Lepisosteus oculatus: one gene and its partners. The protein of the gene in region 3 purifies or fractionates together with the protein of the main gene of each other region. This does not show direct contact. Links are inferred from orthologs where the notes say so. Each region holds a gene or a part of one and is shown on either strand. Other genes may lie near its edges.

What was found.
Region 1: the proteins of stk11 (region 3) and cops8 purify together in Homo sapiens (affinity purification with mass spectrometry; 3 studies listed by BioGRID and IntAct, with this or other methods). This does not show direct contact. The link is inferred for Lepisosteus oculatus from reciprocal best matches to the Homo sapiens genes STK11 and COPS8.
Region 2: the proteins of stk11 (region 3) and pip4k2aa purify together in Homo sapiens (affinity purification with mass spectrometry; 3 studies listed by BioGRID and IntAct, counting the BioPlex papers as one, with this or other methods). This does not show direct contact. The link is inferred for Lepisosteus oculatus from reciprocal best matches to the Homo sapiens genes STK11 and PIP4K2A.

Annotation. Positions count from the first base shown.
Region 1 is NC_090707.1:9,846,583-9,858,017, forward strand, and holds the start of cops8 (COP9 signalosome complex subunit 8), read left to right. Parts: upstream 1-6,035; 5' UTR 6,036-6,083; coding exon 6,084-6,155; intron 6,156-7,312; coding exon 7,313-7,383; intron 7,384-8,458; coding exon 8,459-8,507; intron 8,508-10,334; exon of another isoform or gene 10,335-10,831; coding exon 10,832-10,964; exon of another isoform or gene 10,965-11,435. UniProt on the Homo sapiens protein: Component of the COP9 signalosome complex (CSN), a complex involved in various cellular and developmental processes.
Region 2 is NC_090701.1:17,339,506-17,350,700, reverse strand, and holds the start of pip4k2aa (phosphatidylinositol 5-phosphate 4-kinase type-2 alpha), read right to left. Parts: upstream 4,764-11,195; 5' UTR 4,126-4,763; coding exon 3,985-4,125; intron 1-3,984. UniProt on the Homo sapiens protein: Catalyzes the phosphorylation of phosphatidylinositol 5-phosphate (PtdIns5P) on the fourth hydroxyl of the myo-inositol ring, to form phosphatidylinositol 4,5-bisphosphate (PtdIns(4,5)P2). Has both ATP- and GTP-dependent kinase activities.
Region 3 is NC_090724.1:7,564,063-7,574,713, forward strand, and holds the start of stk11 (serine/threonine-protein kinase STK11), read right to left. Parts: upstream 5,305-10,651; 5' UTR 4,838-5,304; intron 4,292-4,837; 5' UTR 3,527-4,291; coding exon 3,237-3,526; intron 1-3,236. UniProt on the Homo sapiens protein: Tumor suppressor serine/threonine-protein kinase that controls the activity of AMP-activated protein kinase (AMPK) family members, thereby playing a role in various processes such as cell metabolism, cell polarity, apoptosis and DNA damage response.

The DNA of each region.
Region 1 (11,435 bases), on a different chromosome or scaffold from region 3:
TTCTGGACTGGTGCACCTTGCATTTTCTCTTACTTCTAAAACATAGACTAGCTACAGTAGGTTAGATTGATCAATATTAATCAATTTGATTGATTCATATTAATCAATTGGTCCTACAATGGACGTGTGCCACATCTATACTGAAGACAGTCTTGCTCTATAAATTCTGCCTGTTGCACGCTGCTCAGGCAGACAGAGGACAAAGCTGCAGTAATACAACATAGCATTAGCATAGAACATGCAGATTCTAAAGGTTCTTGAACTACTTGGAATTAATAAATCTCCAGGGCCTGATGGAAAGTATTCACAAGCTATTAACAAAATTCCAACAGTCCCAAAAGGCAAGGGGTAGTACCTCTATAACATGCAAGGTTATAGAAACAATTTTGAGAACTAGAGCATCATGTACTGTATATAGATAACAAATAGGTTTTAGAAAAAATAGGTCTTGGTTAATTAACTTGTTAGAGGTCTTTCAAAAGGCAACAACAGAGCACGGGATATTTAGACTGATGTTAATCATAAAAGATTTATTCACAAATTTCAGGTAGTAGGAAGTATGGATTAATGCACAGACAAAATAGAGTACAAATAGGGGGTGAATTCTATGATTGGGGTGCAGCACTACAGGGATCCTTAATAGAACCACTAGAACTGTAACATACGAGAGGAGGCTATCAAGCTGAGCATTGAGATAGGTAGTAGTTAATTGATTCAAAGATGTCATCCAGCCATTTCTTGAAACTGTTTCTTTCTGGAACTTTCTTGTCAAATTTCTTACAGATAAGGTTTTCATTACCTAATTACATTTTCTTATCAGGTGTAAATTGCATTAAGAAAAGATTCAGCCAATGAGCTTTAAGATAAGATCACTTTATTGGCCATATACAATTTCTTGCATTAGGAATTTGTTTTTTCGCATACCCAAGCTAGCTCTCCATGAGAGACACAGGCACACAGACGGGGAGAGAGAAGCCTGGGGTCAGAGCACAGGGTCAGCCATTTATACGGCACCCCTGGAGCAGTTGGGGTTAAGGGCCTTGCTCATGGGCCCAACAGAGTAGGATTCCTCTCTGGCCACAGGATACAAACCGGCAACCTTCCAGCCACAGGTGCAGATCCTTAGCCACAGAGCTAACATCCTGATGATTGACCATTTTTTTTACTATTGACATTTTTACTTCTTATGCGTGATGTTCTGTTGACATTATGACAAGTTTTACAAGGGCATCACAGCACAAATCTTTATTTTGCTACACATGAGGGAGAATATCTGCAAGGTACTGGCAGGAAAATGTACGATTATTGAGATTCACTGGATGACTTAATCACAGTTACTGGGCTCTGGTTCAAACGTATTGCATTACAGCAGTGAAGACACGTATCTGTCAGGTGGGGCTGCACATTGGTGGTATTGAAGGGGGTCCCCATTACCTGTAATGCCCTTTGAGTGGAGTGTCCAGAAAATCACTATATAAGTGTAAGCAATTATAATTATTATTAAGACCTTGGCCTGTTCTGAACTTCACTGGGCAGTAATGTGCTCAGTGAGGTGTTCCTTAACAAGTGGTAGTTTTATTTTTTGTCCGGAGTGGGAAGAAAAAAAGTTACATTAAACTGTAAGTTAGTTTTAGCCAAGAACTCTTTAATACTCAAAAAAGAATTAAGAAATACACAAATTTGCAGCTATTGACCTTCTGACATTTGCAGTGTCATATATTTTGGTATTTATACATTATGTTTGACTGATTGTAATGGTGAGAATATTTCCTTTAAATTCCTGCATTAATTAAACTGTAGTATTATACTGTTACTAATAATAATTATCATTATTGTTGTTTTTATTTTATGCACAACCTTTTATGACATCTCAAACTCTTTATACGAATGAAATTCATAGGAGCTCTTGCATACAACAGGAATAGAGATACAGTACAGTATGTATGCTCCAGTATTTAATTAAGATCCAAGTCTTTGAGTTCTGAACATATTGCAACTGAGGTGTCAGGAGAGCCAATCAGAACAGCTTTGGTCTTGTGAAAGTTCAGATAGAAAAATCTGTGAATGTCCAGCATGAAGGGGCATATACAGTAAATAAAAACTGTGGTGCTTTCATTAATGTGTGAGGGGAAAGACAGAAGACAGGAAGTTATCATTGGTGCATCCCACAGCATTTCCTTTTTTGTTCCAATGGCTGTACAACAAGAGTAACCAGGACCTTGTAGAAAAGCAAAAAAAAGATTTTGCTAATGTACTGGAACAATCTTCCACTACGTAAAAAAAGACCACACATCCGGTGCTTGATAGCATGAACTGAATGACCAGTAACAGGAGGGGATTTACTGGCTGCACTAGGAAGCTGACCTTCAATGAAGTGGTCTGACCGGCCTGAGATAAGAGTCCTCTGACTAGAGGGGCCTGTGGGACCCAGCAGATAATTTGTTACCCACGTGAAGACTGTCCTATCGCTGTATTTCAAGGTACTGCACAGATTGAAGTGTACCATTCAATCTCCAGAAAACCAAAAGTCAGATGCCAGTAATTTCATTCTTGTTAGGCAATTCGAAGTGGGAGGCAGGGAGTGAAAGGCAATGGTCTACACAAGGAAGTTACTGTACCTAAGTGATTGCATGTTTCAGGTTTATTCCGGATCTAAAGAGACATAATAGTTTATGGAGTGAAAGTACTTTGTTTTGGATTGTTGTGTCCCTTGCTGTGCTTTATTTTTATCCTTGTTCGTGTATTGTATAAGCACAGGCTATTTCTGTGTCTCATCAAAGTATGGTATATCAACATTCAAATGATGAATCCTGTCCCTTCTTTCCTGAGAACAATGCGCAATAAAAACAGACTATCTCATTTAAAAGCAAAGCGTGGGAGGTTATTTTACACTGCAATCTCCAAAGGAAAAATAGAACACAATACATGATATCTAAGCTTTGTTTTTACGGATTTCCTGTGTAATTTGAATGAAAGAAAACTTTCCCTTCTAAACAGGAACCATGTCTACACGAGATAGTAAAAGTCACATTTATTTAGCTCACTTATTTAGAATTCTTGAGCTCTTTTAGAATCTGCTCCATAAGCATTTATGTGCAGTGTTTAAATTTCTTAACTAAAGCAATTGCCTGCATACTGTACTTACAGTAATTCAGTTAGGCATTGCAAAAACAAGTTCAATTTGCAAGTTTTAAAATGTTTTTGGAATATCAAAATCCATCTCACTGAAATTAATAGATCTTTGCAGATCTCAGTATCATGTACCTGCACTCTGAAATGCGTTAATACAGAAGATAGCATCTTAGGCTGATCTAAGTATTATCTCAGAAACATTTAACTGTTTATTGGTCCAATTGGCCCATATAATTTAATTCCTTCTAATTTAATAAATTATTCTAATCATTTGCAATTTAAACATGACTACACATGAAAAACAAAAGACATGTTAGCAAGACATGTATCAACAATTCTGGTCATTACTATGTTGCAACTCGCGTAATAAATGTAATATGTGAATAAAATTAAATACAATATCACTTACTTTAACATATGATCATTTTGTATTTTAATACCTGCTTCCTTCTCATCTATTGATTTCCAGTATTTACTGGAAAATACCCCAGGTGAAAATCCTAGATACTATTTCAGCTAAATTCCTGATGTGTCGTAAAATGGTGATTTTAGTTTATGGGCTCTATTATGGTGCTTTGTAAGGTCATTGGCCATTTATGATAAAAATAAACCACATAGAATCAATATAAATAAGCTTTAAAGAAACCATAGAAGTGCCCTAAAGGGCAGTCACTTTGCCTCAATTTTCATGTTCTCAACCTGTTAAAAATATATTGAGTAATGTTATGAATTTTTTAGGTCAAGTGTGAACTGTTGCACTATGGACTCTGTTGATGGATGTTTCTTGGATTAATTCAAGAACACTGCTAAGCAATCTTAGGTATTTATTTTTTGTAAATACCAATCTTCCACATGCAGTTCTTATTAGTTTATGACAGCTCCAGACTGGGAGTTTTTATGAGCACTCAGGATGGGAAAAGCAGTATATCGGTTGTGTTATCACACTTTCTAAATAGAGTCATTTAGGCTTTTACTCCTAATTGTAAAGACAAATAGCGGCAAGGTGAAAAATCACCACAGTAATGCTCCCAAAGGGTAATACGAATTTTAATCTTGATATGGTTTTGGATGGCGTCCATTTAATAAACTACGTGTAGATCATTTAGTTGAGATTTTTTTACCGTTTTATTTTTGTTTACGATGCATTTAAATTCACGAGACCAACATATAAACATGACCCTTTTACATTCGTAATTTTTTTTGGATAATTATTGTTATTTGTATCTGATAAAACACAAAATGCCTGCAATGACGACAAACGGCTCCGAGACTCCCTGTACCGTACCAGAGATTTTCCTCAGCGGTAAGATCGGAACAGTCCCTACCTCCGTGTCCCGGCTACCACGTTAAATAAGGAAAAAAGTTGCAACGCAGTGGTTCAGTGGAGCAAAACTCGGCTCACCCTGCATGGCTCTAATAACGACCGCAGAACAAGGAGTACTGATCCACCTCCTGGAACAGGAGAGCCAAGACTATGGTTTTCAATAACATTTTCACTCCTCAGTCAATAAGCAGGACGTTATAGAGCTGGAAAACGGACTGGTCATTTATGAATTTACTCTGGGTAATATACTGGGGTGTAAATAACAAAATACAATGATGTTTATTTGCATGTTTTATTTGAGGTTTTATTTGATCTCTCCGCTTCCCTGAACAACGTGGATTGGCACTTATACATTTCTTTACACCTCTTTCGTCTGTCAAACGAAACTTTAAAATCCCACGACATTACAATATCATGACGTTGCCGTGTTGGAACTACAATATATGAAATATATATCTTCAATATAATAACGTTAGTCACATATAACACTTTCCCTCTTGATTGAAATATTTAAGATGTAAATATAAGTAGGAAAGGGTTTAGTGACCAGGTCTAGTGCAAATGATCACATTACTCCTATCCTGGAGTCCTTGCACTGGCTTCCGGTCAAATTCCGTGTAGACTTTGAAATCCTCATGCTCACCTATAAGGGTCTGCATGGCTTGGCACCTCAGTATCTGTCCGAACTATTATCGCCCTACTCCCCACCTCGCAACCTTCGCTCTTCTAATTCTGCCCTCCTTACTGTCCCCCAAGCCTGTCTACATTGTATGGGTGACAGGGCCTTCTCCTGTTATGCCCCCAAGCTCTGGAACTCTCTCCCCAAGGATATCAGAGAGTCACCTTCTCTAAACTCCTTCAAATCCAGATTCAAAACCCTCTTCTTAAAGTAAAAAACCTTTACTTAACTGGTTCCATTCTTCACCCCTCTGCTTTTCTTAGTACCACCATCCACGGTCTCCTCTATATATTTTAATTGTGTTTTATCTTGTGTATTCTTTTTATTTATTGTTGTTGTCATTCCATAAAGCGTTTTGAGAAGCCACATTTAAAGGCGCTTTATAAAATAAAGTTTATTATTATTATTATTATTATTATTATTATTATTATTATTATTATTATTATTATTATATTTTCTTACCAGATTTTACGGTGGACTATCATGCGAAGTATCAATGATCTCCTGTAAAACATTTAACAAATCAGTGCGTTTAACTTTCTTTTTTAAGGCCACAGTCCGCTTTTTTAAAGCGAAATATTTGTATGGAGTGACATCTAGTGTTTCTTATTTCATTACATTCCTGTGAAACATCGGGTTTGCTTGACCAGAGAAAACGGATACATTCTAAAATGTTGTTGCAATATAGGTTTTAATATTAGGATGTACAGAAGTATAATAAATACCTTAATTTGATTCATTATTTAATTCTGTACGAAAGTTCTCCTTCGGAAGATCTACAGTAGTTTACTGCACACGATAGTCTATTAAATACCACGCACGTAGTTTTCCCCTCCACTAGAGGTCGCTAGGAAAGTTTCTGCGCCGTAATAATATTATACGCCGCACTCTGTATCCCCGGAAAGGGAAGTGTTTTCATCTGTTACTGTTTGGGTTGGTTTTCCAAAAATGCCAGTGGCGGTGATCATGGGAGAGAATTACAACAAACTTCTGGAGCAGTGTGAAACCCAGGAGTTGGAGGTATATAGCCGATTCCCTAAAAACAAGGTTGTGTGTTCATTGCCAGCCAGGACCTGGTGTAGAGACGCCACAACCGTTCAGTAACATCCCGGACAGTGAACACAACGTGTTGCTGAAGCAGCCGGCTTGCAGTCCTCAATTACTCGGTTACCTAGGATGCTGTTGTTAGACCTCGGGTGGTTGTTTAAAGGCAGTGATCACACTAGGGAAATATTTTCCCGATGTTTCATATGTAAACAGTATTTTTGGAATCAATGGTTCGCTGGTGCTGTGTCGCCTGTTCTATTCAAGTATACACGCATGTGTTTTATTGTCGTTTCCATCTGTGTCGGGGGGGCATAGCAGATCAGATCTCTATTTATGACTAGAAGGCTGCTCCCTTGAGCCAGGTGCCTCATACGAGTTGTGCACAGCTGTAAAAGTCTGCACCAGATTTGCTGGGGAGAAACCACGAGAATAGGAGAGCTTTCAGTCTGGGGTTGGGGGGTCACATAGCCACAGCCCGCTTAATCCTGCAGAAACTGGGGTAACCACGAAACTAGAGAACCGCTACAGTTGTAACAGCAACGTTTGTACGCAATGTCTGATGGTATTCATTTTATAAGTATTGATAACTGACGAATTTACTGACAGAAATTGTTACCAGTACGAGAGTTGTTGAATAGTTTTCAGTTAGCTTGCAGGAGATTTTCTACGTGCTCTATTAATACCTTTGAGTTCTGATAGGCATTACTTTCCTTGGTACTGTAATGTGTTTGCGGTATTCTCAAAGTGAAGGACAATGCAAGTATCTCTTACAATAAAAGATCGTCTAGTTTTGTTCGTTAGCTTAATCACTGGGATTTTCAAATTCAGTAACTGAAAGCAAAAGTGATCATATCTCTTGAATATACATTACTGCTTTTTTGGATATGATGCTGAAATTCATTGTGGGGATGAATTTCTTTTCTCAATTCCAATTGCATCCAGTGAAACTCGTTTTTTTAAATGGTGGCATATTTGAATTTTTGCATGATTATGGTAAAAATTCCACATTTGCAAAGCATTCTGAAATATTTAAATAAATATTTTTGTTAAAAGTTACATTTATTATTGCCATGTATTTTCTGTATTTTGTATATAATTACAATTTAAAAAGTGCTTTGTTTTCTTTCAAGGCACCTGGTGGCATTGCGACTCCTCAAGTGTACGGGCAGCTGCTGGCCCTATATCTCCTGCACAATGACATGTGAGTTATAGCAGAGTACATGTTGTCATTCAGAATCTGCCACTCAGGATTTACTGTCATCAGAGCAGGTTGTAGGCTCAGTAAATTACATTGATGGGCTACTTTACTGTGCATTGTGTAGGCACATGGGCTACTTGTTCACAACTGTTATGGATCCTTAACTTTTCATAGTCAAAAATAAGTTTCGAAGTTACGAATCCCTTCATAATCTAATATAGGGCTCTCCCCTCTGAGTCCATCCAGACATCTTAATTGTGATGGCACAAATAGATAAATCTGTATTGTGTTGATTTGCCATGACAGATGATAAGAACAGCTAGGATTTTCTTCCATATGGAGTAGATTTTAATATTGGTAATCATAGTTACAGGTGTAATAGATTTCTTCTTCCCCCTTATCAAAAGAAAAATCATAGGAACTTAGAAACATACAAGTTTATATGTAGATAGAACTGTTTTTATTGTTTGCATGAAGGTAATTGAGTTTCATATACAAAAAAACATTTAACTTTAAGCATAACTAATATCTGCAAAGACAGACACTGGTTTATAGTCTGTGTCTTAAAGTTGTAATAGCAGAGCACAGTCAATTAATCAAAGGTAATTACCTAGTCTCATCTAATGCAGCTTTAATGTTTTTGTGATAAAACACCATGCAGCACAGAAAACTGAACCATTGAAAGCACTAACAGCAAATGGCTTTAGCATAGTTTTACATGTTTTTTTTACATATGGCACTGGTTAAGTCTGTCATGGTGAAGCTGGTGATTTACCTAAAGCAACAGAAGCATTGCACTTGTAAGCTTAGCTTTCTCGAGACCTACACGTTCATCCCTTAGGATAGGTATATAAATAAAAATTAAAAATGGGACAGAGCATCAAAGCTGTTGGTCCCAACTATTTAATTCTTGTGGGAGTCACAAAGCTTTTGTGCACCCACGTCTTTCCTGTGTGAAAAAGCCCTCAAGAGACATCAAAGCCAGTCTGTCTGGACTCACCACATGGAAAGGATATGGAAAGTACTGGTTTGCATTGTTCTGGAATTTGAGGAATGTCTGTCTGTGTTCTGTTTTTAGGAATAATGCCCGGTATCTTTGGAAGAGAATCCCACAAGCAATCAAATCTGTAAGTACTTACTAAACTTTATTTGTGATGTATTAAAGTGATTAAAAACTCAGATATATTTAACATCAGCAGAAGACACATCTAACAGATAAGATGGTTTGGGTGTTTTTTAAAAGAAATCAATGGTTCTTGTTTTTGAAACCAGTTCTAAGTCTAGTTCAAGGCAAGTTTGCTTAGAAGTAGACAATAAGCATTAACATTTTGACAGCAGTGAAGTGTAGATTGCAAAAGAAATGTGCCCACAGAGCCTCAGATTCTGTAATATCTAAGCCCTTATGTTTAATACTCCCTGGTTTGGAAAACGTTATGTACTGTTATACTTAAGGTAATTTTTTAAAATTATTTTACTTTGAATGAAACAGAATAGAAAATGAGGAAATTAAAAATCTAGCTGCTGTGTTTTTAACACCCCTTCCAAAAAAAGAAAATTGATAGTTCTTGCAGAAGATATCTCCAAACTCTCGATCATTTTTAAGAACTATAATTTTAGTGCTAAGTATAGTCTTTGAATTGTTTTTTCCTTTGAAGTATAAAGATAAAAATAAGAGATAACAGAATGCTGCACTCTTGAACTGGGATGATTGAATCATGAGGGATTTCATTATCTCTGCCACGTGTCTCTGGCCTGCAGTGGCATCGACAGCTGACATTTAGAGCTGTTGGGAAACAGCTTAAGTAACCTGTTCCTGGGCTTCAGGGACATATAGAACTTTCTGTCTTTTTATAAGCTACACTCTGTTAATGTTTCTCTTTATCTGTCAGAAGTAAGCAGGGCACAGCATAAGATTCTGTATTTACCTCTCCTTTTCGTTAGTTTTACAACACCAAATTTGTTGTTGTTATTGAAGTGCCTTAGTGATTCTGTTGAGAAATGTCCCAAACAGTATATGTATATACTGTATATGAAGGCAAATTAGTGAACATTTAAACAGTTCTTATTTGGAGAATAGTTCAGCCCTGCTTTAGCACAAATTGTTGTTCGATCCAGTTGGAAGTAGAGTTCAGTTTAGTTGATTCCGCACAGAAGAAAAAGTTTTAATTATTATACACTGCTTTTAAGTGTATAATCTTAGTGGTGCTCTTTGCATTGTTGTATAAGCTTAAGTGGGCTTTATACTCTGTTTTTACCATGATGTAGAACTGTGTATTTATACAATAGACTATAGTATATTGTTGGAGTTTTGTGTTTTTTTTTATTTCCTTTAGTCATATTAACCAAGGACAACTATTAATGACATTATTTCATGCAGCACAGAGTCCTGCCTTTAAAATGTATTTCAAAGAAATACAGAGCAAATTGTAAACAGTTCTGTATTTTTTAAGGCAGTTGAACATTCACAAGTCAAAATAAAAAATATATTGCATAAATAGTTTGAGCTTGTTGCAACTCCTGTGAGAAAAATCAATTTGCTTTATGCATCATATGCTTTTCTTGTTAAAATTGTCATTATCTTTTAAATATGTTAGGAAGAAACATTAAGTTTACAGTCCTTAGCCTGAGATTCTGGGACATGACATGTAATGTAGACAAGTGCAGTGTGCCCCATGTAGTTAGCAAAAATACAAGCTATAAATATAAACTAATAAGCACAGGCATTGGAAATACTTTTTTTGAGAAATTCAAAGGTGTTTGGTTTATGTCATATCATTTACATTTTCTATACAATGTGAAGAAACACAAAAAAAAGTCAGGATATACAATACAAAATGTAGTATTTAAATAAAGGGACGTTATGCTAAAGTTGTCCGACGTACATTTTATGGAAAATATATTTCTGCTCTAGAATAAGTCAAGAGTGACATGATACATTCACAAACTCAAAGGAATGTCTTACAAGGATTTATTTCAGTGCCCATGTACATTTACAGTCCTTGGGACACCTCACAGGGTAAAAAGTCAAAATAACATTTTACAGAAATAAATATACAAATTAAAAATGTGGAAAAGGAGAAAAGGCAAACATAATTAAAACTCAACTAAACAGGCGAGTCTTTAAAACTGTAAAAGAGTTAACATTTCTCAGGTTGGCAGGGAGGGAGTTCTACACTTGTGGAGCAAGTCCCCTGAAAACCCACAGCCCTAAATGGTCTCCATTAAGACACCCATAGCAAACCCCACAACAGTGGCATATGTCTGTGAGTGGACAGTTCCGCATATCTAACTTATGTTTCTGAGTATTAGGTACGTAACGACTATGTGTTGTAGTCGATAAGGTTTTAACGGGAGGAAACAATGTGCAAGAGAGAAACCATTCGAAAAGACAAATTGGTGGCAGTGGAGTAGCTGAACGAGAGTGAAAGTTTCTTCATTTTGGCTCTTGCAGGCTAACCCTGAACTGGCTGCTATCTGGGGTGTGGGCCAGCGGATCTGGCAGAGGGACTTCCCAGGAATATACACAGCAATTGCTGCTCATCAGTGGTCTGAAACCATTCAGCCAGTCATGGAGGCTCTCAGAGGTACTTTCCCATGATTCTTATCTGGTGGCATGACTGCTGCAGCAGGCACGTAAATTATTAAGTCAGCCAGCCTGCTTAATCACCTGTTCTGAGATTTCACTTCGATATAGTTTTTTTGCTGTAAAGGCTCATTCCTGTTGCATATGTGTCTGCATTCATAAGTTAGTGACTTGGGTTTTGAACAGTTTTCGTATTCTTTGGGATATTTGTTATATAAGGTCAACATTCACCAAAAGGAAAAATTAAAGCCTAAAATAATTGTGATGCCTGGTGAATGAGGCATCACTATTACACAGTTTATTTGCATAGTTGGTAAACAATTATTAAATCTTTCTTAAAAAATAAGATGCAGTCATTTATATTATAGATTTGTTACAGACATTTTAGAACAAGAAACTTTCTTGTGCTACATGAAGAAAAGTAAACATAACGGGAAATATCTTATCTCCTGTTTGTGTTACTTTTCTTTAA
Region 2 (11,195 bases), on a different chromosome or scaffold from region 3:
TGGTGTTGAGAGTGTGTGCAAATGTTTGGGTTCTGTCACCACTGTTTAGAGAGCAATAGCCTGGGTCAATAAGGTACAAGAGGAGTTTAAGTGCCATCAAAATCGCAAAGCTCTAAACAGAAATCCAATAAGGAGCTCTTTAAGCATTAAGGCAGCAAACAATGTCCTGTGCATTTAGTGCTTATCGTTTCTTTCACAATTTTTAGTTGGAGAAAAGGCCTTTCGCTTTTGTGTTGAAGCCTGCATAAAACGCATTCATAATGTTTCTTCCATCATCTGCCTCCTTTACAAGCAGAGCACTTTCCCTTTTTGTAAAAACATATTTCCATTGACCTGCGTGTATAAAGGAAGTCATTTTTAAAAAGTGTCCACATACAGTATCAAGCCCTTCACTTATCTTCCTCCACACCAGTCCTGCTTTTGCCAGATATGGAAGATGATTCTGAATTATTTCTTTTCAGAAGAGGAATATACTGTTATAATGGTTTGGTATTAGTGTATTTTACTGTATAGGATACAGTCAGAAGCTACATCATCCTGCATCTCTCAACTGCCAACCCACTGAAGCTAAGCAGGTGTGAGTCTAGCCAGTATCTGGGAGACCTCATGGGTCTGATTTCTGCTGGAAAAGGTTTTAGGGGGGACCAGTAGGGGGCACTCATCCTGTAGCCTGTGTGGGTCCTAATGCCCCAGTATAGTAATAGGGACACAACACTGCAAAAAAGGCACCATCCTATTTACAAGATGAGATGTAAATCTCTCTGTGGTCATTAAAAATCCCTAGTGTCCTGGCCAAATTTCAACCTGGCCTTTACCAATCATGGCCTCCTAATAATCCCCATCTGTGAATTTGCTTCAGCACTCTGTTCTCCTCCCCACTGATAGCTGATGTGAGCACACTGGTGCAATATGGCTGCCATCATCCAGGTGGAGCTACACATTGGTAGTGGTGATGGAGGGGAGTCCCAATTACCTGTAAAGTGCTGTGAGTGGAGTCCAGAAAAGCTATAGAAGTGTAAGAAATTATTATTTCTGTAACAAGTGGTAAATAGCCTTTACTTTTTTTTAAAGCAAATGTGGGATAATATGACATGACCACACATGATCATTCCAAAAAAGAATCTCCACTTCTTTTCCCAAACATTGTCTCTTTGTTCCGCTCTTCCTTCTTCTGAGTAGTACAGAACTCTGCTGGGGAGGAAATAACCACAGGCTGCCAAAAGCTCTTTGCCGGACCTAGGAATCCTGAACAGACAGTGCAATCTCATCAACTAAAGCTAATGCCATTTGTTACCAATGACTAAAGTGTTGACAAGTTTTGCTCAGTTACAGTAGGTGTAAATAAGTCAAAATGCAGACTTCAAATCAGCAGTAGACATAGAAAAAAACCCCAATATGTACGTTTGATTTGAGCCGGGACTAAAGCAGCTTACAGCAGTTCGCCCACCTGATGTCTAAATGCTAGATAAAGCAGTTTAATCCCCTTGTCTGGATGAAAGCTGGGACATTTGCTAATCGCAAATGCAAACTGTCAGAAGTTAATCACAGGTGCACAGTTCGCAAATCACCACATCATACTAATGGTGAGCCTGCTAAAGACGATGAGTTTAATACTGGAACACTCTGCACTACATTAGTACAAAAGAGAGTAAAAGAAAAATATATATTTTTCAAATACTACGATTACTGGTTAAAATTCAGGTCATCCCACATTGATCGAAAAAAGTAACATCAAGTCATAGAACTTCGATCTCCATTTGCATATTTCACTTGTTTGGCATTTATCACAACTATTGTGTAATGATTCCACTGAATTAATATCCCAATGTTCTGTGTTATTATTTTAACTCAGAGTTTCCCTTGACTTTAATGGCTGTAATTCATCCTTATCTTCAGAATACATCATGAATGTTAACCTCGCAACTACTTCTTATAGAAACTGGTCTCCATCAGAGCAGAGCAGTTACAAGCTCCACTTACTGACTGAAATTACCAGAATTGCAATCTTTTATCAAGATAACTAACATAAATCAGCATGTCATTGGAAATTATCTCCCCCCTGCTGTATAGTGTAGGGGAAACAATGTAGACCACTTTTAAAAGCCCTGAATCTTTTTATCCTAAAACCATGTCATACATTAAAAGCAATCCACAAATCAGAACTACATATCCCTGTGTGGTATTGGAAACCAATCTTTACTTTTGTCTGGGTATCTGACGTTTTGTTGAAGTGAAGTACGGTATGTTAACAGAATTTAATTTGCTAAAGCAGTGAAGACCATACTAAGGAACTTTTTGGTCGGGGTTGCCCCATTGCAGACAGAAGCGAAGGTTTTACATGAAGAGAGAATTAAGACTCCCAAGGAAAGCAAACACCTACAGTAGGAGTCTTTAAAGGGACTTCTGTACCACCTGTTGCCCTAATGCAGTAATACGCACTCCTAGTTTATGAAGGGTGGTCAGTCAAGAGTTTTTATAATCAACGCAGTCATTAAGTCTTCAACTACAGTAATTACATTCATTTAGGCCATCGAGGTTAGTTTTGGTCTCAGAAACGTTACTCAACATTTACTCAACAGGACCGGGGGTGTGTGTATGAGTAACGTTCCGGATTGGTGCACCATTCTCGGTTACTCGGGCTGGAGAGAAGTGGGATTTACAGTAGATATGCATCAGGTCTAGCAGCAACTTGGCTTTTAAGGGAAGTTGGAGTTGTTGAAATATCACTCAAAAGGAAATAGCCGATAAGTCGTTTTAGTGTGAGAAAGGGAGTAAAAAAGCCGTGAAATAATAGTTAAGTGCACTCGGCAAGCACATTTCTCTTAACTGATACAACTGTACGGACAGGCGAAGGCAAGGCTTTCCAAGTGCTTGTCTGTTAGATTCCCATAGGGCAATGTGAGGAATATGTATCTTTTACCGTCTGTTTAACTTACACAGAACACAATATTATTAATTACGACAACAATGATGATGTCCCGGATCCACAGCGCTTTGGAAAGCATGTTTATCGATACCAGTGTGTGGTGTTATGCAGGTATTGCACAAGCTGTCAGTTAGGAATTCTATTGATTTTGCAATTTACAACTGATGTAGTTGATGAGTGCTCCCAACACCAACACTGTGACCAAACTACAGTATCCAAATGCCGATTGCGAGACGAGATTTGCCATCGTTTGACAATTTTGAAAAAAACATCTTTCCGATTCCCACCCCCAATCTATACAAAAATGCCCCCTGCAGAGCCACCCGCATGCACCGTGTGTAACGTCCGGTTTTCACTTGCAAGTCGGGGGACCTCCACAACTTTCCGCCCGGGACGAGCTTCGGGACTGACGGGACCGGATGCTTTTCTTACAAACCCAACTTACGCTCCCCTCCGGCTCGTTACACACACGCACACGCTACGTAGTAGACGCGGCGCACCCGGACACCGTCTCCGCGGTGAGCAAACCACCAGGTTCCCCGGCCAACCACGACAACTCTCACAGCAACAGCGGCGGCGGCAGTCAGCACAACATCCCCACCTTCCAGACATTTAAAGATTGCCACACTCCCTTGGAAAACAGTTTAATTCATGACAGTTAAAAAGAGAGAGAGAGAGCGAACGAGCGAGCGAGCGAGCTTGACTTCCGAGTTCAATTGCGATTTGGGCACAACTCAAAAATAAAAAAAAAAGTCCAAGACGTTTTGATCATTTAATATTACGTCAGGAGTCAATGCATTCGCTCAGCTTCGCTAAGCAATCACACGCTTTTCAAAGGGGGTGCGGGCAACATGCAAATACGTTACAAAACAGTGTTAGGAGAAAGCTCTCTTTTTACAGTACTGTATCACGTATTATTTTGATTAAATGCGGATAGTGGGTGCATTTTTCACTACCCAGGCAGTTTAGCGCATTAAGTTTGATCAGCGGCACCTGAAGGTCGCCAGAAACCACGCAAGTAAAAAAACAAGACGTAATATTTGAAATCGTTTACTCACAGAATGGTTAACTCCCCACATCAGGACGCTCAGCAGAGGGTCGCTGGCACGGAACAGCTTGACTTTCTGAGCAACAAAATGTTTCTTCTTCGTCTTCGTTTTACTCGCAATTGATGAGGCAATGCCACTGACTGTAGCCATGTTTTACACTTAATTTTGCCTAATAATGACAGCTCACGTTCAAATTCAGGGTCGGTCTCTTTAACAACAGAACAGACCGAGAAAAAAGTATGTACACTTATGCTGCGCCTCCTGTCTTGGTTCTTCTTAAGATGTCAAGAGCCTATTCTCCTTTTATTTTTAATGCAGCTGCAGAATAAGCTCCTTACCATTTAGTTATCGGCATATCTAACCTAAAACAGCAGCTCCCCTTAAAAATAACCCTCCCCACCTTGCTTCACTCCAACATTCCCCTGTGAATACTTTATTGACGAGCGCGTTTGATACCCAGAATTAAAATACGTCTTCAAATAAAACAAAAAAAAACTGAGATTTCATGCAACATACACAGCTCAATAAACCAATGCTCTCAGTCCTCTGTGCTCTCCCCACTGCGTACCAGTCCTGCACTAAAGCAAACACTTTCCCTCTTCCTTTTGCACTGCTCGTTTCCTCCAAAAACCGCTGCTGGCAAATGATGGACGTCCTAAAATAAAAATATCCGCATTGCAACCGTGTTACAATTTTGAATTTGTAGGTTTAAAATAAGCAGCCTCTGTCCCAGCGCTTCCGGCCGGGTGCTGCTCTGGTGACTGACAGCCCAGGGAGGCGGAGGCCGGCGCTACAGCATGCAGACCGATTATTAATGCGGTTGACGTTTTCTAGCGTAGAAAACAGCGGCGGTAGGTAAGAAAATAAAAACGTTGTAACGGTATTTTGCTGCCTTTACCGTTTCGTTCTCAACCATAACTATAAAACTAGGAATAAAGTTTAAAAAAAGCCAACCGCACTCAAGTATACTTTTCGTCTTTAATTGTCATTTTCCATTTATTCACGCCTCTACTTGGGCAGACGTGACTTAGATAATTATTTAATTACTTTATAGGTATTTCATAAGTGTACACAAGACGAATGCCGAACTTTTTTTTATTCTAGTTATCATGTATTATTTATATATGGGACGTGAACATTCTTTAAGACTCGAAATTAAACAATTTAATTACGCAGGGGGGCACTTAAAACAAAAAAATATTTTGTATTACAAAGTGATACAAAAGCGTAGGTGTTCAATGATGAACTGTCTGATTTCACCAATCACAAACCAAAGCTACAAAGCTTAAGGGAGAAGACGGTAGACAGCTGACTCACGAAAGATGCATACAGAACTAATTCTTCATCACAAAACCTGTGGCTGATTATACTGTACGAATCCGATGTCTAATATAAATACAAAGGGTCAGACTAGTATTTTTAAACGGTGTTAGGAATGTAAACAGCTGCTTTATTTGTATTTGCAACAACAACAACAGCAACATTTGTTCCACATTTACAGTACCTGTTTGCAGTGGTTTCTGTTGTTCTACTTTTGCTACAGTTTTGTGTCCAAGAGTACTGTATGAGAGCAACACTGTAGTGTTTATGGTTAGTACTGACACTTAACCTAATAATAATTTACATCTGTATTTAATTAAATTAATACTAAACGAAAGTGCTGAAGTTGGATTACATTTATATTGTTGTCTGATTACCGAGATGAAACAATCTAAAATGATATTAACAATTAAATTTGCACAAGAACAACGGAATGTGTTCTAAATACAAATGGTGATTTGACTGGAAGTGCAGTTAATAGTGTTTTGTTTTGTTTGAAATATTTGATTGATATTTGTCATTAAGAATAGTTACACATGAGGGATTGTATATCTTCTTTAAATTGTGTGCAGTAACTTATCATTGTTGATAAACATCCCCCTAACTCACACAGAGAGAAAAGACAGCAATCGTGATTAATCATCATTGGGCCCAATGTATGGAAACAAACTTACGATTCACTGTAGAAATCTGTGGTTTCAATAGTTTAATAGTTAGTCCATGTGACAAACACAAAATAATAAAATATATCTTTCAATGGTTAAAGACCCAAATACCTTTACATAAGAGGATGGCATTATGATAAGATATTTAGTCTTTTTAAACTTCCAGAATCCCTGCAAATAAAACTGCCTCTTACTTTATAAGAAGTACGAAATGGTACTTTAAATATCATTACATTATGGTAGCCTGTTTAGTTATTCTTGACTTTCTTTAAAAGTCATTAGTAAAACAATGAAATCTAAAATGCATTAAACATGTATTCATGTTTCAATCAAACTGCATACAATCTACAGTAGTAGCCATTTAGTAATTCCTTTTAAAGTGTCACTGAAAATACCACAACACCAGTTAGGCACAGTGGATTTGAAGAAGGCAACACAAATCAACAGTCAACTAAAGTATCGCAATGTAGAAAACAAGAAGTGTGGCTTTATACACAAATAGATTGAGGGAAAGCACAGAATAGCATTCCTCAGTTGTTGAATTTGCGAGTTCTGAAATAAGGTGAAAAGTAAAATGGTGAAGTAACCAGTTAAAGAAAGAGGAAATGATCTGCCTGACCAATTGCTGTGGTTAGGCTACACTCTATAACTGAGCAACACTGCTACGGGGCTTCTCTAACCAGTGCCCATTTCATGGTAAGAGGTTGCAAAGAAGGACAAGGCTTTCAAAAGAAATAAAGAGAAGGGTTTATTTTTCCATGTTCGCAGTTTTTTATATTTGTGACTCCTTCAGGCAGTATTTAATGTAAAATTGTCTTTATTTCAGTATAGTGAATACTAGCTTTGATAACTATTGATGGTACAGGACTCCAAAAATACATCTTTATTTACAAAAAAAAAAATCTAGGGAAAGGTTGTCAATGATCTGTTGAAGTATCTTGTGTGTTTAATCCCCCAATTGTGTATCATATATACAGTACATATAATAAAACATGACTGACACATGATGGTCTCTAACCTTTCAACTGAAGTATTTGAATAAGATCACTGTCAAAGGGCAGCAGGGTGCTGGGTAGCAGCCACACAAATATAGGTATAGTTTACACTTTGGTCTAGTTTAAGACAAATTAATTAATTTAACCAAAGACCTGATTCAGACCTAAACTCAAATCTCTTATCACAATTTGTCATCATTCTATATATTTTATATGCTGCCCTCCCTCAGTAATGAACATTCTACCATTTTCCCTTTGAAGTGGTGACAACACTACTTTTCCTCTCAGACCTTTGACTCAGACATTGCTAAAGATTGCTTGCAGCTCTCCATCGGAGACAAACCAACCTTTAAAGGTTAAAAATGCTGACCTGGTGACACTGTGTAGGGGTAGTGGACTAGGGCACTGTCGACTCTAGACAGGAATGGACTGTCTGGATGGAAGAGTCAAAGGTGGCCACAGTGAGAAATGTTTTGTGCAGCAAAACCAAACATTGCCTTCAAATAAGATAACCTCATCCCAGCCATCAAGCGTGGCCTCAGGACCCAGCCATCCCAGCCATCTCAGTGCCTCAGGACCGAGAGGGCTTGCCATCGTTGATGGAATTACATTCTGAAGAAGAAGCCGAATCTAACACAACGTATGGAAATATCTTGGAACACTGGTTTAGTCATTATTGAGCCACTTTCTAACTGCTTTATCCAATTCAGCGCCGTGGAGGCGCCAGAGCCTATCCCGGCAAGCAACAGGCACAAGATGGGATACACCCTGGATGGGACACCAGTCCATCGCAGGGGGCACACAGACACAAGCATACACTCACACCAGGGCCAATTTTCCTAGAAGCCAATTAACCTACTGTACCAGTACAGTGTCTTTAGACTGTGGGAGGAAACCCATGTAAGCATGGGAAGAACATACAAACTCCATGCAGACAGCACCCCGGGTCCAGAATTGAACCCAGGGCCCCAGCGCTATGAGGCAGCAATACTAACCACTATATTACCCTGCCATCACATTATTGAACATGACCATTTATTTAACATACTACGTTTTACCTGGTTTTAAATTGTTGGAGAGCAATAACAAAAATTCTTCTACTTTTTAATAAGTTTAAAAAAAACTACAATACACAAGAAGAGAAAAGTTACTCTGAAACATTTCATAAGGTGTAGATTTCACCCTTTATTTTTTATATACTTAAATTTTTGCCTAGTTTGAACATGGTACTGATAAAAGAGGGACATGATGATTAGTTTATATCTTTAAATCCTAACCGATGCTACTGTATATCTCGGTGCATTCAGCCTTGAGAGAGAGAAATGCAGAGTGGAAGAGATCTCGCACTGATGTTGTCTGTAAGAATCCATTTCCTGTATGCTCTTTCTGAAACTGAGCAATACAAACACTCCTATACTATGTCATCAATTTGCAAATGTTTACATATCCCATGCCTCCACTGTAACAAAGATGCAAAAATAGGAGGTACAGTACATAATTCTGTCACTGTTATATGAAAATCATGCACAGGTGCCACAAGTAACATATAACTGCTCCAGGTCTTATAGGGAAGCAACTCTAAAAAGTAAATACTGAAGGAAAGCCTGTTCTGCTTGTTCATCTCTCACCCTGAAGACAGTCTTGACACCCAAGGACTGTCCTTTAATAAGAACATCCATGTAAGACAACAAGCGAAACCTTAGCATAAACTCTGCCTGCAGCACAGACTAAGAAAGACGTTCAATGACTATCAGGCTATATGACTGAGAAGTTTGTTTTTATTTGTATGAAAAGCACAAAATTAATTAAAAGTTATTAAATTAATGGACAATGTGGTAAATGAATATAGTAAAAACACCTAAAAGGTGGTATAATCCAATACAACAGCTAATATACATAGTAGAAACTATATGCTTATTATGGGGGCATTTACTATAAAACAGACTATTTATCAATGCATACTACAGTACATCATAAAAGGACATGCATCACAGAATGCACAGTTTTGTCATACTCTGGTACACAGGTCTACTAGTACTAGTACAGTTTTAAAATGCATATCAATAATTTATTAAATCTCTGTGTATGTACAGGCACTAAAGCTCTCTTAAGTAGTTACAACGAACGTTGTACAGCAAGTGTATGTACTCTACGAGCGTGAACATTCTCTTCAGTAGTTACAGTACAACAAGTGTAGTATGAGTGATATAACCTACAGGTAAACACATTCAGGAATCTGGTTTTGTACATATGTCTACTGAAATTTTCACAGTACCTTTGAAAAATAGTGCTGTGGGTAAATTTGGTGTGATATACTGGTGGACAATGGAAATACAAAAGTCTACGTTTTCCACCAGTACTTCATTGGACACATACAGTATAAGATTATTTACAATTAACATCGTGAGCCAGCCCAGAAGTGATGATTATCCAGTAGTACAATGGTACACTCATAAGGTCTTTCCATGTCCAGATTTTTATCATGATCAGAGTCCAGTAGAGCATCTGTGAGACTTATGTGCCAATTCCATCGACAGGAGACTGCTACTGGTCCACTATCCCACTGCTGGTCCATCCCATAACTGTCTACGCAGAGGGTGATTGGATACATGCCTCAAACCTGGATTGTGTGGATTGCAAATGACTAAATTCACCATGATTTCTCTTTACCAGTGTGCCATGCATCATATTGAAGATTATAATGATTCTCTTGACTGCATTTTGGTTCTACTTTTCTATGTATTTTTTTAGCTGTTAAATATAGAGATATAATCGACTAGGTGTGAGTGTTTAATTTCTTTTGTGCATCAGCTGACATTCATCTCTTATTTTTAATTGTAAAGCTTGTTTCTAGGTACTATGAATCACAACACTATCTCTTAAAGCTTAATTACAACTAGTTGTGAATGAGAATGTACAGTAGATACAGATTTACAATACATTTTTTTACTTTTAAATGCTCATAACTGGTTTCATTCCATGTATATCAGATGAAGAATAAATCACAAAAAAAATGCGTTTAATATCAGTACCATGGGCTGGTGGAATAGTACATTTCATTATCACTGTGGCTGTTTTCTGAATCTTCCTTCAAATATCAATTGGCAAATCTTACAGCAGGTGCTGTAAACCATTGATGGTTTTTAATTACAATTTTCGAAGACAAAGATAGACCATCCTGACTCCAGGTTTTTGAACAGGACTCAATAGTGGCTAAGTGTTGAATGTTTGACAATCTCTCTTTGTCCTAGGAACCACACCTGTAGTCCTAGATAGATGAGCTATAAGGTTCATTTACAGAGGACAGGTCTTGAAAGCGCTAACTTTTGTTGTACTTCTTAGCTACAAAACAGATGAAAAGAGATTTTATCACTTCTCTTCTCTTCCCCTTACTTGGAGATGCTCTCCTTGCTTTGAACAGTTCCCTAGAAAACTGCTGCATTTACTCACAGTAAGGACATCTGCCCACCTCCAGTTCTCAGTTCCCAGTTCTACTCCCTCTTGAAAACTGAGACTTGAAGAGTAATATATGGTGCACAGGAATCCACTTAGTGTCAGGGAATTTAACCCAAAATACTGAAACAGCAGATGCCCTGAACCTTATAGGAAGGCTACCAAGGTGCGTACATTACAGTCATTTCTTTATTCTTGAGGATTTCCGAAATGCCAGCTTGAAGCTTTATTCAAACAAGAAACAAGGGTGTTTGGCCTATCTTTAGGTACTCAGGCTCTCCACACTCGGTAGTGTAACAACAAATAGCTGTAAAGACATAGTCTAATAAGTAAACATATCTTTCTTGCAAATGGCAGGATTTAATCTTCGAAGATTCAAAGGTATTTCAGAAAAAGTTCAAGTCCAAAAAACCAACTGAGTGCCATTTAAAGAAACCTAAACAAAATTATTATTATTATTATTATTATTATTATTATTATTATTATTATTATTATTATTATTAGTCAGGCGTAGAAGGAAGTTAATAATATGTGTCACATTTGTTGATTTGTTGAGTATGCTGAGAACGTTTCCTAGCAACCAATGACAACAAAGAATCCGGTCACCACGATCCATTTCCGCAGAACCAGAAAGGTAAAGAAAGTACGGCACATCTTTTACTGGTTAACATCACAAGTTTTGATTTCCTTATATCCTTACAAAACATGCTTAACATTTTCAGAGCCGAAATGCGTTGTATTGTACCGTACGCGAAAGGAAAACGTGGAATTATCTTTTTACGCTACG
Region 3 (10,651 bases):
CCCCACCTCAAGAGGCAAAAAAGAATGCTTTTCTAACTCAATGAACCTCAGTATGGGAACCACCGACATAAATTCAATGCAAGTTAAAAAAAACTAAGCTGGAACCCTATTCTCTGGTGGGAGGGACCTATACCAAGGAGATGGCTCAACACCAGATGTTTACTCTAGAGTGAGGCAATCAGTTTCTAGTTTGCTCACACACTGCCAGAAAAACCAATCAATCAAGTTCAATTCATTGCAAAGGGCTTTGCAATGTTTCATGCTACAGCAGGCTTCGCAGTGAGAGCACAGAAGAGCTAAAAGCAACACAGAATCTTCAAATCGTCACACAAGTACAATCTAAATAAATGCACAAGACAGCTGAGAGGCACTGTGCTTCTTACACAAGCAAGCAACTGGAATCTGAAGAACTGTGACAAGTCAGAGCCGTGCAGTCTGCCAGCAACACTCCAACACCACAAATGACTTACAGCTCGCACCGCACAGACAAAGACATTAACACAGCATTGAAGCTCCAGCTTTTATGCATGATTAATACCTGTGCTGTTTGTCTGTGGTTTTAAGGTCAGATTTAACAGCGGGATAGCAAAACGCCTTTATCCACCTAACGCACTGTACATTCAGATGCACTTTTGCCTTCCTGCACATCAACCAGTTGTCAGGACTGGACTGGTTTTTCCACCGGTAAGAGGGAGGTGCAAGGAGCAAGAGAATGGACAGTCTCCGAAGTGCAGAAGGACAAGGCTGTGAAGACACATTCAGGCGAATCGCAGGCGATGCCATAATGTCTTCCAGTGCCCTTCGTCTGCACTTCCTCTGCCCAACTGTACTCACCTGTGGCACTGAATTAGGCCTGAGGCTGTAGACAGTATATTACAAGCGCACATGGCATTCCTGCACTTCCCAGGAGTTCCCCCCCCCCAATTAAAAACACATAATACTAAAAACAACAGCAAAGTCCACACAGGTGGCTCCTGCAATCTCACTCTGACTTTAAGACTGCAGGCGTGCAGGTGCAGACGTCCTGTGCCAGCATTTGTCTGCTACTCTGCAGGTGCAACTTTCACCCCGTTTATTCCTGAGCCACACGGCAGGGCAGCAGGAGTGCCTGAATCCGCGGGAAGACTTTTCCCCGCCTGGGAAGCAGGGGATGCTCCCGACACAGAAACATGCGAATGCAGGCGTGATAAGCAGGCACACGCATTTCACTTCCCATCCGCCCTTTTAAACTTCATTTTCCGAAATGTCACTAAAAAAAAAAAAAGAGAGAGAGAGAACGCTCTGTAGGAGTGCCTGCGTCGTGAGGGTTTCGTTTTGCATGGATGAGGGCAATAAGGGAGGGGGCCACATTTTCATCCTTTGTTGTACACCAATGGGAGCCCCCACCCTACCCCACCGGTTATTTATTACCACTGTGGTGAAAAGAAAATAGGAAAAGGCACCTCTGTCTCGGCACAGCATTTCCAGAGCTAATACTGCACAAGGGCTCTGGGACCCTTCCTGTGCAAAGAAAGCCAAAGTCCCCAGAAAAGGAAAAGCAGACTAACATCGCAGACCTAGTAGAACTGCATAGCACCACACCACCGTCGCTGAACTGCATTTGGATGATCGGAACGGTTTCCTTCCCCTGAACAACAATCTCCGCGCATCATTTCTTTAAAAAAAAAAACACCACTATAAGTGTGCCAGCAACAAACTGGTAATCACTCCCCTCACACCACTGTCCACCTTCGGACCCGCTGCCCAGACCTGCTGCCCTGGGGCTCATCCTACACTCCCCCATGCTCTTCCAGTCTTTCCATCCCATTCCAAAAGGAAAGCACCCTGCCCCTCCCTCCCCTCCAGAACCCCCACAGCCCCTAAAAAATACCAAACTGCCACACATCGCCTCTTATCCTCACTTTCAGCGTCCTACCAAGCTGTGCTAAAAATATATAATGTGTTTATTTTTAGGTGCCTATCCTGCTTAATAAAGGTTTGCTGCTCTTGCATTTCTGGAGGTTTTGGTAGCAATATAAAAGCAGCATCTCTCCCACATGTAGGTAAGGCGAGGGGTGGTCTTTCGCGCAAAGACTCGCTGCCGGACTCGGCAGAGAACCCACCCTGACCAGACCGCGCCCTCGTACACCTCCTGGAGAAGGGGTGGCTGCCAAACAGGGCCAGCTCAGCCCGTCCGTGTGTCTGTGCGTGTTGCCGTTTTAAATGGCCATAAACAGAGAAAGGCTGCTCACAAGCAAAACACATGAAAGTCGGGGGAGAAAAAAAATGCAGTTCAGTTTGCACCCGTTTAAGTTGGGTTTCTAAGCAAATGCACTGCGTCACGTCTTTTCACAATCGCTCTTGAGGCCCCAGACAAGTACTCCTGTCAAACAGACCTCCCTTGACTTTCACCCCCTCGAACGGACTGATGCTATCTGGACAGAAACTACAGCATTACTCTCCCATTACAGTCAACCCTCGGTTTAACAGACAAGCTCAACTCCAGGGGAATTCTGTCTGCATAATCAGAAATACCACACATAAAACAAGGTAGAAATAAATACTACATAGGTCTGAAATTCCAGAATACAGGATAAGGATAGGTCAACTGTTTACAATAGGTATTTGTGTTCCGTATGCTTAAGCAAAATTTATACGCTATATTTACAACATGAAATAAAGAGCTTGTGCGTTCACGATTGAAAAAGGCATGGAAACAATTTTTACTGTGTTGACTGCCCTTGTTAAATAAGTCAAAACTTCCAGAGCACATACATAAGAAAAATACATTATGTATATGCAGAAATAGCATGTTTTTAGGCTGAAAAAAAAAGGGATATTCGGCAGTAATGGACTTCCCTGTTCTCCTATATATACACTCCTCCCTATTAGTCCTTTAGGCCGAGGGATGACTGTAATTATAGCCTTACAAGTCCATGACCAGAGTGACACTTTCAAGACCACCCAGGCTTTTGGCAGCTTCAGATAGCCTACTCTCACATACTCACAGGGACACAACTGGCCACAGGTCACCGGCACTCAACGGGTCTGCCCTCGCCCGGACATCCACGTTGGCTACCCATACCCCACCCACACCACCCATGGGTGGTCCATGGTCCATGGCCCATGGGTGGTCCAGCAAAATGAAGACAGCCCCGTGGTCTTTTCTTAGAAGCAGACAGAGGGTGCCTGCAGCAGTCGGGGGGCTCAGACCCAGCCCAAAAGATGAGGATCTGGGGCCAGGAGCCGGGACTTACTTTTTGACATTGGCCTCCCCGTTGGGGATCCTCCTCAGCTTCTTCTTCTTCAGGATCTTCACCGCCCGCCGGCACAGCGTCTCCGAGTCCAGCATCTCCTTCACCTTGCCGTAGGAGCCCTCGCCCAGCAGGTCCCCCATCAGGTACTTGCCGATGAGCTTGGCCCGCTTGCGCCGGGGCTGGTAGATGACCTCCGTGGAGTCGATGCGGTGGATGAAGGTGTCCATGCCCATGAGCTCGGGCTCCGCCAGGTAGTCGAGGGACAGGCGCTGCAGTTCGTCCATGCTCATCTTTGCAGCTCAGGGGTTGCGGAGTTGGGGAGGAGGAGGTGGGCCCGGGGAGGGGGGAGGGGGGAGGAGGTGCTGGAGGAAGGGAAGAGGTACTTACTCCTGAAATCCCTCCGTTTTCTCCAAGCGAGAAGTGTGGAACAAGAAAGCTACAGCACCCAGTGGATAAGACCTCCAAGAGCTCGGGAATTCCAAGGAGAACCAGACTGGGGGTGGAGGGGCAGACTCTGCCAGAGTTCAGCTATGAAGCAGCATAGCCCGGACTGGAGTTCCTGATACACACACGGATGCAGAAGTGAGGGGGGGGGCTTTTACATACACTTTAGAGGAAAAAGTCTGGTGGTGCCCCTTCACATTACACCCCGCTGCTTCACAAAACCAGGGAGAGAAATGTAGTCGGTTTATGCTTTCTTTTTCCCCGTGATGGTGGAGGTGGAGGAGTGTGGAAATTCTAACTCGATGACAGTCCCTGGTGTTTGGCTCCTGCTGGCATCGGGGTGCAAATCCACCGTCAGCCAAGGAGCCCCCAGTCCGTGGACACCGACGTCATCCAACGGGCAGAAAATGTGTCCTCCCCCCCCCCTCCCCGTCTTCTTCACACCTGTAACAAGCGAGATCTTCTTTGGTACTGCTTTTTTAAGGGAAATTTTCCCGAAGACTTGACTCCCTATCCCCCCGCTGGTTTCATATCCTTAGGATTCCCAGCACACTACTATCAAAGAGTTAAAATTAGTCCTTAGCCAGTTGCAGCAAACGAAGATCCAATATCTGGAATGCAAGAAAAATATTTCAGATCAATGATACACGTAAGGCAGTTTGCGAAGCTAATTTAAGACTATGTTAAGAATAACATTGCACATGCATTGATATAGCAAAATAGAAACAACGACAATGCATTGTACGTGTCATCTGCAGCCAAGAGGCACATTACAGATTGTAAACGGACGCTAGCACAAACGACACCGCGAGAGCTCCAAGGCGTAAGATATTAAGTGTTCTCGACCTATTCTGGCTTTATTTGAACAAAACAAAAAACCAACAACAACAAATAAATTAGCCAACCCAGTGCAGCAATGCTACAGTTTTACGCGCTGGCTGAAGCAAAAAAAAACCAAACACAAACAGAAATCCGTCGCCCGTTACCCGAGATCAGTAGATGTGAACCTACGCTGACGGCCAAGCTGCACTCTTTTACTTCACCGCTTCAAAAAATACTAATCGCTCGTTTCGTAGAGGCAGCACGGCCTCGGATCCCTCTGCTTGAACACTACACTTGACTTGTTTATATTAATAATGAAAACCCTCGTCTCTTACCTGCTCGGCGTAATAAAAACGCACCAGCCCCCCGGCACTCCGTGCCCGGTTTATCCTCTGCTTAACTCTTTCATCTCCAGACGCCTGTCCTGCCTTTATTTTTTTTAAATGTGTATGTTTCTGGAAAAGAACCGGCAGACTGGAGACCCTCCTTCTAGTCACCAAAGCTGAAGTCCAGCAGATACGATGTCAAGTACAATCCAGAGAGACCGAATTAGTAGTACGACTGCTACTCCTAATATATCACTTTATGGACGTCCCGTCGCTGGCATCTCTTCCTCGGCCTCCAAAAATCCGGCATGCAGCGCTTCGCTGATGTATGTTAATTTACGTATTTACTTTTCCTGGCGTGTATCCGTGTCGGTGTAAATAGGATAGGTTTTGAACCCCTTAAATTTGCAGCCGCCGTCAGGCTGTCGCCATCTTGTTTACCTCCCCCCTCGCTCAAGACCGAAACGCCAGCCCCTTACGTCAGCGCGTCAATATGGCAACCACTTGCGTGCGCACTTATTGGCTACACGTCGTGTCAATCACTTCCCAACACGGTCCCCTGGAGAGGCGGAACCATCGAGCGTCAGAAGCTGATTGGTCGATTCCCTCCATCGATCAATGCAACTTTCCATTGCCTGTGTGTGAGAGGGAAGCTAGGCTGCCGTACTGTATTCTGTTTGGCCGGGCAGCTCGTCAGGTTCATAATGTCATGTATAACAAGTTCTGCCTTTTCGAAATCTTTGTATTACTGTATGTATTGGGATTCTCATAGAGTGGACCGATCCCAGGTTTACGCTTATTGGCTGATCGTTACTATCAATCCTAAATCAGGGGAAAATCCCAGAATTTGCACGGAGTTAAAAGGAGTTTCCATAGCGTGCCGCCGTCACTGGCTTTTACTTGAAAAACTCGGGCAGTTATTTCTCCCAGCAAAGCACAGGCGCTGCGGACTGGATGTGATATAACACTTTCACAAGCAGCCTACGTTTGTCACAGAGCACACAACGGGTGGCGACAGTCACAGCGGCGACCGGTTTCAAGCTTTCTGGATGAGACGCGGCAATGCTATGTCAGATGCGCTCTTGTTAGAAATGACAATGAATTCACTACGCCAGCAGGGTCTAAGTGGACAATGACACCCCGTCAATATGGCTAATTGTCGGTGTTTTTAATCTCTTTATGTGCGTGCACAGAAATCGTCAACTTATAAGATTCCTAAAAGATGCCAAACGGCAGGTTTTGTTTACGGAGCTAAAACTGTAAACGTTATAACTCTAATGTTAGCAAATAAGATACACGTAGAAAATGTCTTCATTATACACACCCACATAAACTACCTGAATGACGATCCCATCTCTATATATATATAATGCGTCTCATTGTTTTTAATATTTAATCAATGGTATTTATAGGAACGCGTAGAGGTTAATTCCCCGCTGAAAATGAAAAAGAAAACCGTTCCGGCTGCGGATGTTTGTTCAGGGTGTTTGTTACTTTTACAGCTAGGCTTCATCCAAAACCGTGTTCCCGTTCTCTTGACTGTAAATGATGATGATCGCGCAGGACCTATGTTTTAGATGCACCCGAGTCACTTGCGCGTAAGCACGTCACCACAGCTTTGTGTACCGGTTAGGCAAGCGAACAGTTGCTCTCTACTACCGTGCGTTGCCTGCGCTGTAAAATAACTTTCTATTTCCGTGCCAGTCAAATGCGGTATACGAGACTGCTCTCCGCCTAGCTCTCTCACAAAATGCCCGCTTGGTTTATTTTCGATTCTTACTGTTCTTTACTCTGTGCTTAAAATAGCCCCCCATACTCTCCCTCTCTCCCGTTTGTACACAATTGTACAGGGCCAATAAAGTGATCTTAAACTACCCACGTGACTGGATCCAGTCCAAAAGACTGGTTCATCCTATCCAAAGCAGCGAGAACAATCTAGAACTCGGGCTGCACCATGATTGCCTGTCTGGGTTCTAGTCCTAATGGCTGTAGGTTCAAATGCTGGTGGGATGTCTCTCTGCATTTGGCATTTCTTTCCAGTTTGCACCTATAAATGAGCCACATTCCTTGAAGGTGTTACAGCATATTCAAATATGAGTGTGTTCTCATTTGACTAGAATGAACCCATCAGCTGCTTGCGAGCATTTTTTAACATAATTCTCCATCGGGAAGGGTGGTATATACCGTACAAAACAGAAGAAACTGCTGATCAGGTAAGAGAATCCATAAGAATCTAGAAACTACAATTAGAACTGCATTTCAATGGAAATCATTCCTGACATTCACATCTGATTGCCTGTCCAATAAGTACTTATAACCAGTGCCGGATTTCCCATTAGGCACTGCAGGCACAGTGTCTAGGGCCTATTAAGGAGTGAAACACTAGTGACTCACGAAAAACGAGCTGAAACAACACGCTTGCGATCGACTCTCGGTTCTCCATATCTACAATCACACGCTCTCTAGAGGCTGTTCGAGAAACTAGAAGTGTGGAAGTGATGGTCTCTCGACTCGCCCCAGCAATCCCCAGGTTTAGCATGAGAACAGTTTCAAGTGCATCTTGTCCATCGACGTCATTCAACTGGCGTTGACCCCTCTCCTGGCACAACTCAGAGTGAAAGTGCCGAGGGCCCACGAGCACCACAGTCCGGTCCTGCTCATAACCCAGAGGGCTTGCTGTGCAGTAACTGGACTGAGCAGTCCAGAGCAATTCTGATCAACACTGCAGCTCTGAGCTCTGTTTTGGCCCCCACCTCCAGCCACACATTCGATTGTTTTTCAGGCTGGCTGCAAGCACAAAAAATGATCTGATTTTCTGACCTTCTTCGACCCCGGCGCTGGAAAGCATTCCACTAGGGACTGCTGCGTCTGCTGGCCAGATCTGGGCACACACAGTCGTGTTATTGCTGATTGTCTCTGGCAGCCGCAGCCATTTAAACAAAGTAGATTCGTGTCACTGATGCTGTCCCTTACATGCAGGAATAGTTTTTTCTTTTTTTAGCTGATTCCTAACAATTATAAAGGTCCCTCTTCCCCCTACAACAGGTTAATAATAATAATAATAATAATAATAATAATAATAATAATAATAATCCTGTCTTCCTGCCGTTCAGTTGCATTCAGTGGTTGAACAGCACTAGCTGACCAATACGGAAAAACAAACCGTTTGCGAGAAAACAAAAATCGCTCGATTTTAGTTATCATAATAATTCCTCACACTTATACAGCGCTTCTCTGGACATTCACAGGCAATGAGGACTTCCCTCTTCCACCACCAGATGATGCACCGGTATATCAGCTTTCAGTGGGGAGGAGAGCAGAGTGATGAAGCCAGTTCAGAGATGGGGATTATTAGGAGGCCATGATTGGTAAAGGCCAGGGGGAAATTTGGCCAGATCTCCGGGGTAACACCCCTAGTCTTCTCCAGAAACATTTTTAATGACCACAGAGAGTCAAGACCTCGGTTTTACATCTCATCCAAAGGACGGCACCTTTTTTCAGTATAGTGTCCCTGTCACTATACTGGGGCATTAGGACCCACACAGACCACAGGGTGAGCGCCCCCTACTGGCCCCACTAACACCTCTTCCAGCAGCAGCCTCAGCTTTCCCAGGAGTCTCCCCTCCAGGTACTGACCAGGCCCACACCTGATGGGCTTCAGTGGGCTGCCAGCGGTGAGGTGCAGGGTGATACAGCTGCTGGCAGATACAGCTCTTCTTTTTATCACCCTAAACAACCAGTGCACCCTCAGACCAGGCAAGACAGTCCCCATACATAATATCCCATTTTATTACCTAGCTGTCACAGTATGTGTTATGGTCGTCCCAAACAGAACACAGCATAGAAACGACTTCTCCGAGGGACAGACATTCCAGACCAGCACACGGACCCCAGAGACCCCCAGTTACCAAACCCCACGTTCAGCCCAAAGTCCAGCGGCCTCATTCTCCAAAACCAGCTCTGGTCGGTGAACTAGTATGTGCAGAAAATGGCAAAAGTCAGCCTGCTTGTGACTCTGAAATGCCCCATCAGGCTTCTAAAGAACGCCTGAAGGGGACCTCACATACACTGTGTGCTCGTTACACTAAGCCGAAAACATTACAGAGGGGGCGACAGGGCCACTGCTTACTAACTCCAATAACTCAAACTAACTTACTAGTTAATTTACCAACTTTCAATAAATTGCTATGTCATTCTATCCCAGCATGCTCCTCGGTTTTTAGTCACTAATGGCAACCGCGCGGTGGAGTCTCTGGGTGAGGGGCAAACACACAGAAGCCCAGACCGACCGAGTAAGGAGGCAATGGAGAAGGATATTGCCAGTGAAGACTAAATGAAAAGGGGGAGGAGGAGGATGAGGAGAAGGGACAGTCACGGCTTTTGTCTCTGGGCTGCTGTTACACAACAGCATGGAAATAACAAGACGAGACGGCTCCGCGGATCGAGGGAGAGCCGGGGCGGGGAGCAGTGAGTTTGAGTCACCGAAATAGAAAAGGGGAGCTCGGAGACTGCTGCTCCCTGCAGGCTCTTTATAACAAGGCAACAAATCAGCCAGGCCACTTTTAGAGTCTTTTTTCCCCCCAGTCCCATCTCTGTTCACATCGTCTCCCTGCGGGGTGCACGGCTCTGTGAGAGCTTTTGTACCCATAGTTCCCATGTTACATAGAAACACAGCAGCTGTTATTGCAGACAGCGGGGAGAGGTCACATTTACGAGTCCAGAGGGCAGTCTTTTTCCCTTTTATCTAAACCCCAGTGAGCCGCCCCGTCATCTGCGTTCTTTAGATGAGCCTTCTTTACTACAAGACAGAGAGACGGATCTCGCAATACAAACACAACATAAACTGGAATGCTACAGAATCCTAAATAGACCATACACACTATATTTGACCAGCATAAGTAACAGCGAGAAGCAACAGACCCTGACGAAGCACAGGCTCAGTGACCACAGCCTGGCCATAGAAACTGGGCAACACAGGCAGACCTGGCTACCCAGAGAGGACAGGCTCAGTGACCACAGCCTGGACACACACACTGGACACAGGCAGACCTGGCTGCCCAGAGAGGACAGGCTCAGTGACCACAGCCTGGACACACACACTGGACACAGGCAGACCTGGCTGCCCAGAGAGGACAGGCTCAGTGACCACAGCCTGGACACACACACTGGACACAGGCAGACCTGGCTGCCCAGAGAGGACAGGCTCAGTGACCACAGCCCGGCCATAGAAACTGGGAGATACAAGCAGACCTGGCTGTCCAGAGAGGACAGGGTGTGCTCCCACTGCCAGCAGGGAGAAATAGAGACAGAGGTGCACTTCCTACTGCACTGGGACAGATACTCTGGGATTAGAGAAACATTTTTACCTAAATTCAGAAATCTAATCCCAGAGTTCCCACACCGGCTAGAATCACAACAGTTCCCAATCCTACTGGGAGAGGGAGGAGGGAACTCAGTTGAACTGGCAGCCCAGTATGTGACCTCCTGTCACAGCCTGAGAATTGCTTTGTTATTTTGTGTACGTTCGATCTGTAAATCCTTTCATTGTGAAATACGAAGTCTAAAGGCTTTTTTCCTCACGGGGGACAACTCCAATCCACGCTATAGACGTCACGTGACTCAAACTGGGGTCAATATAGGTAGGCCGCTTTTTTTCCTTCAGCCTCGTGCTTCGGGAAGGTCCAAAACGAAAAGGCCCCGCAGGTGCCCCTTTGCACTGAACAGAAAAACCAACCCATCAAATTCTCCAGGAGACCTACAGAGTCCCTACCAAGGAAAGAGGAAGCTTTCTTTCTGCTCTCCTCTATAATTATGGGGTAATTA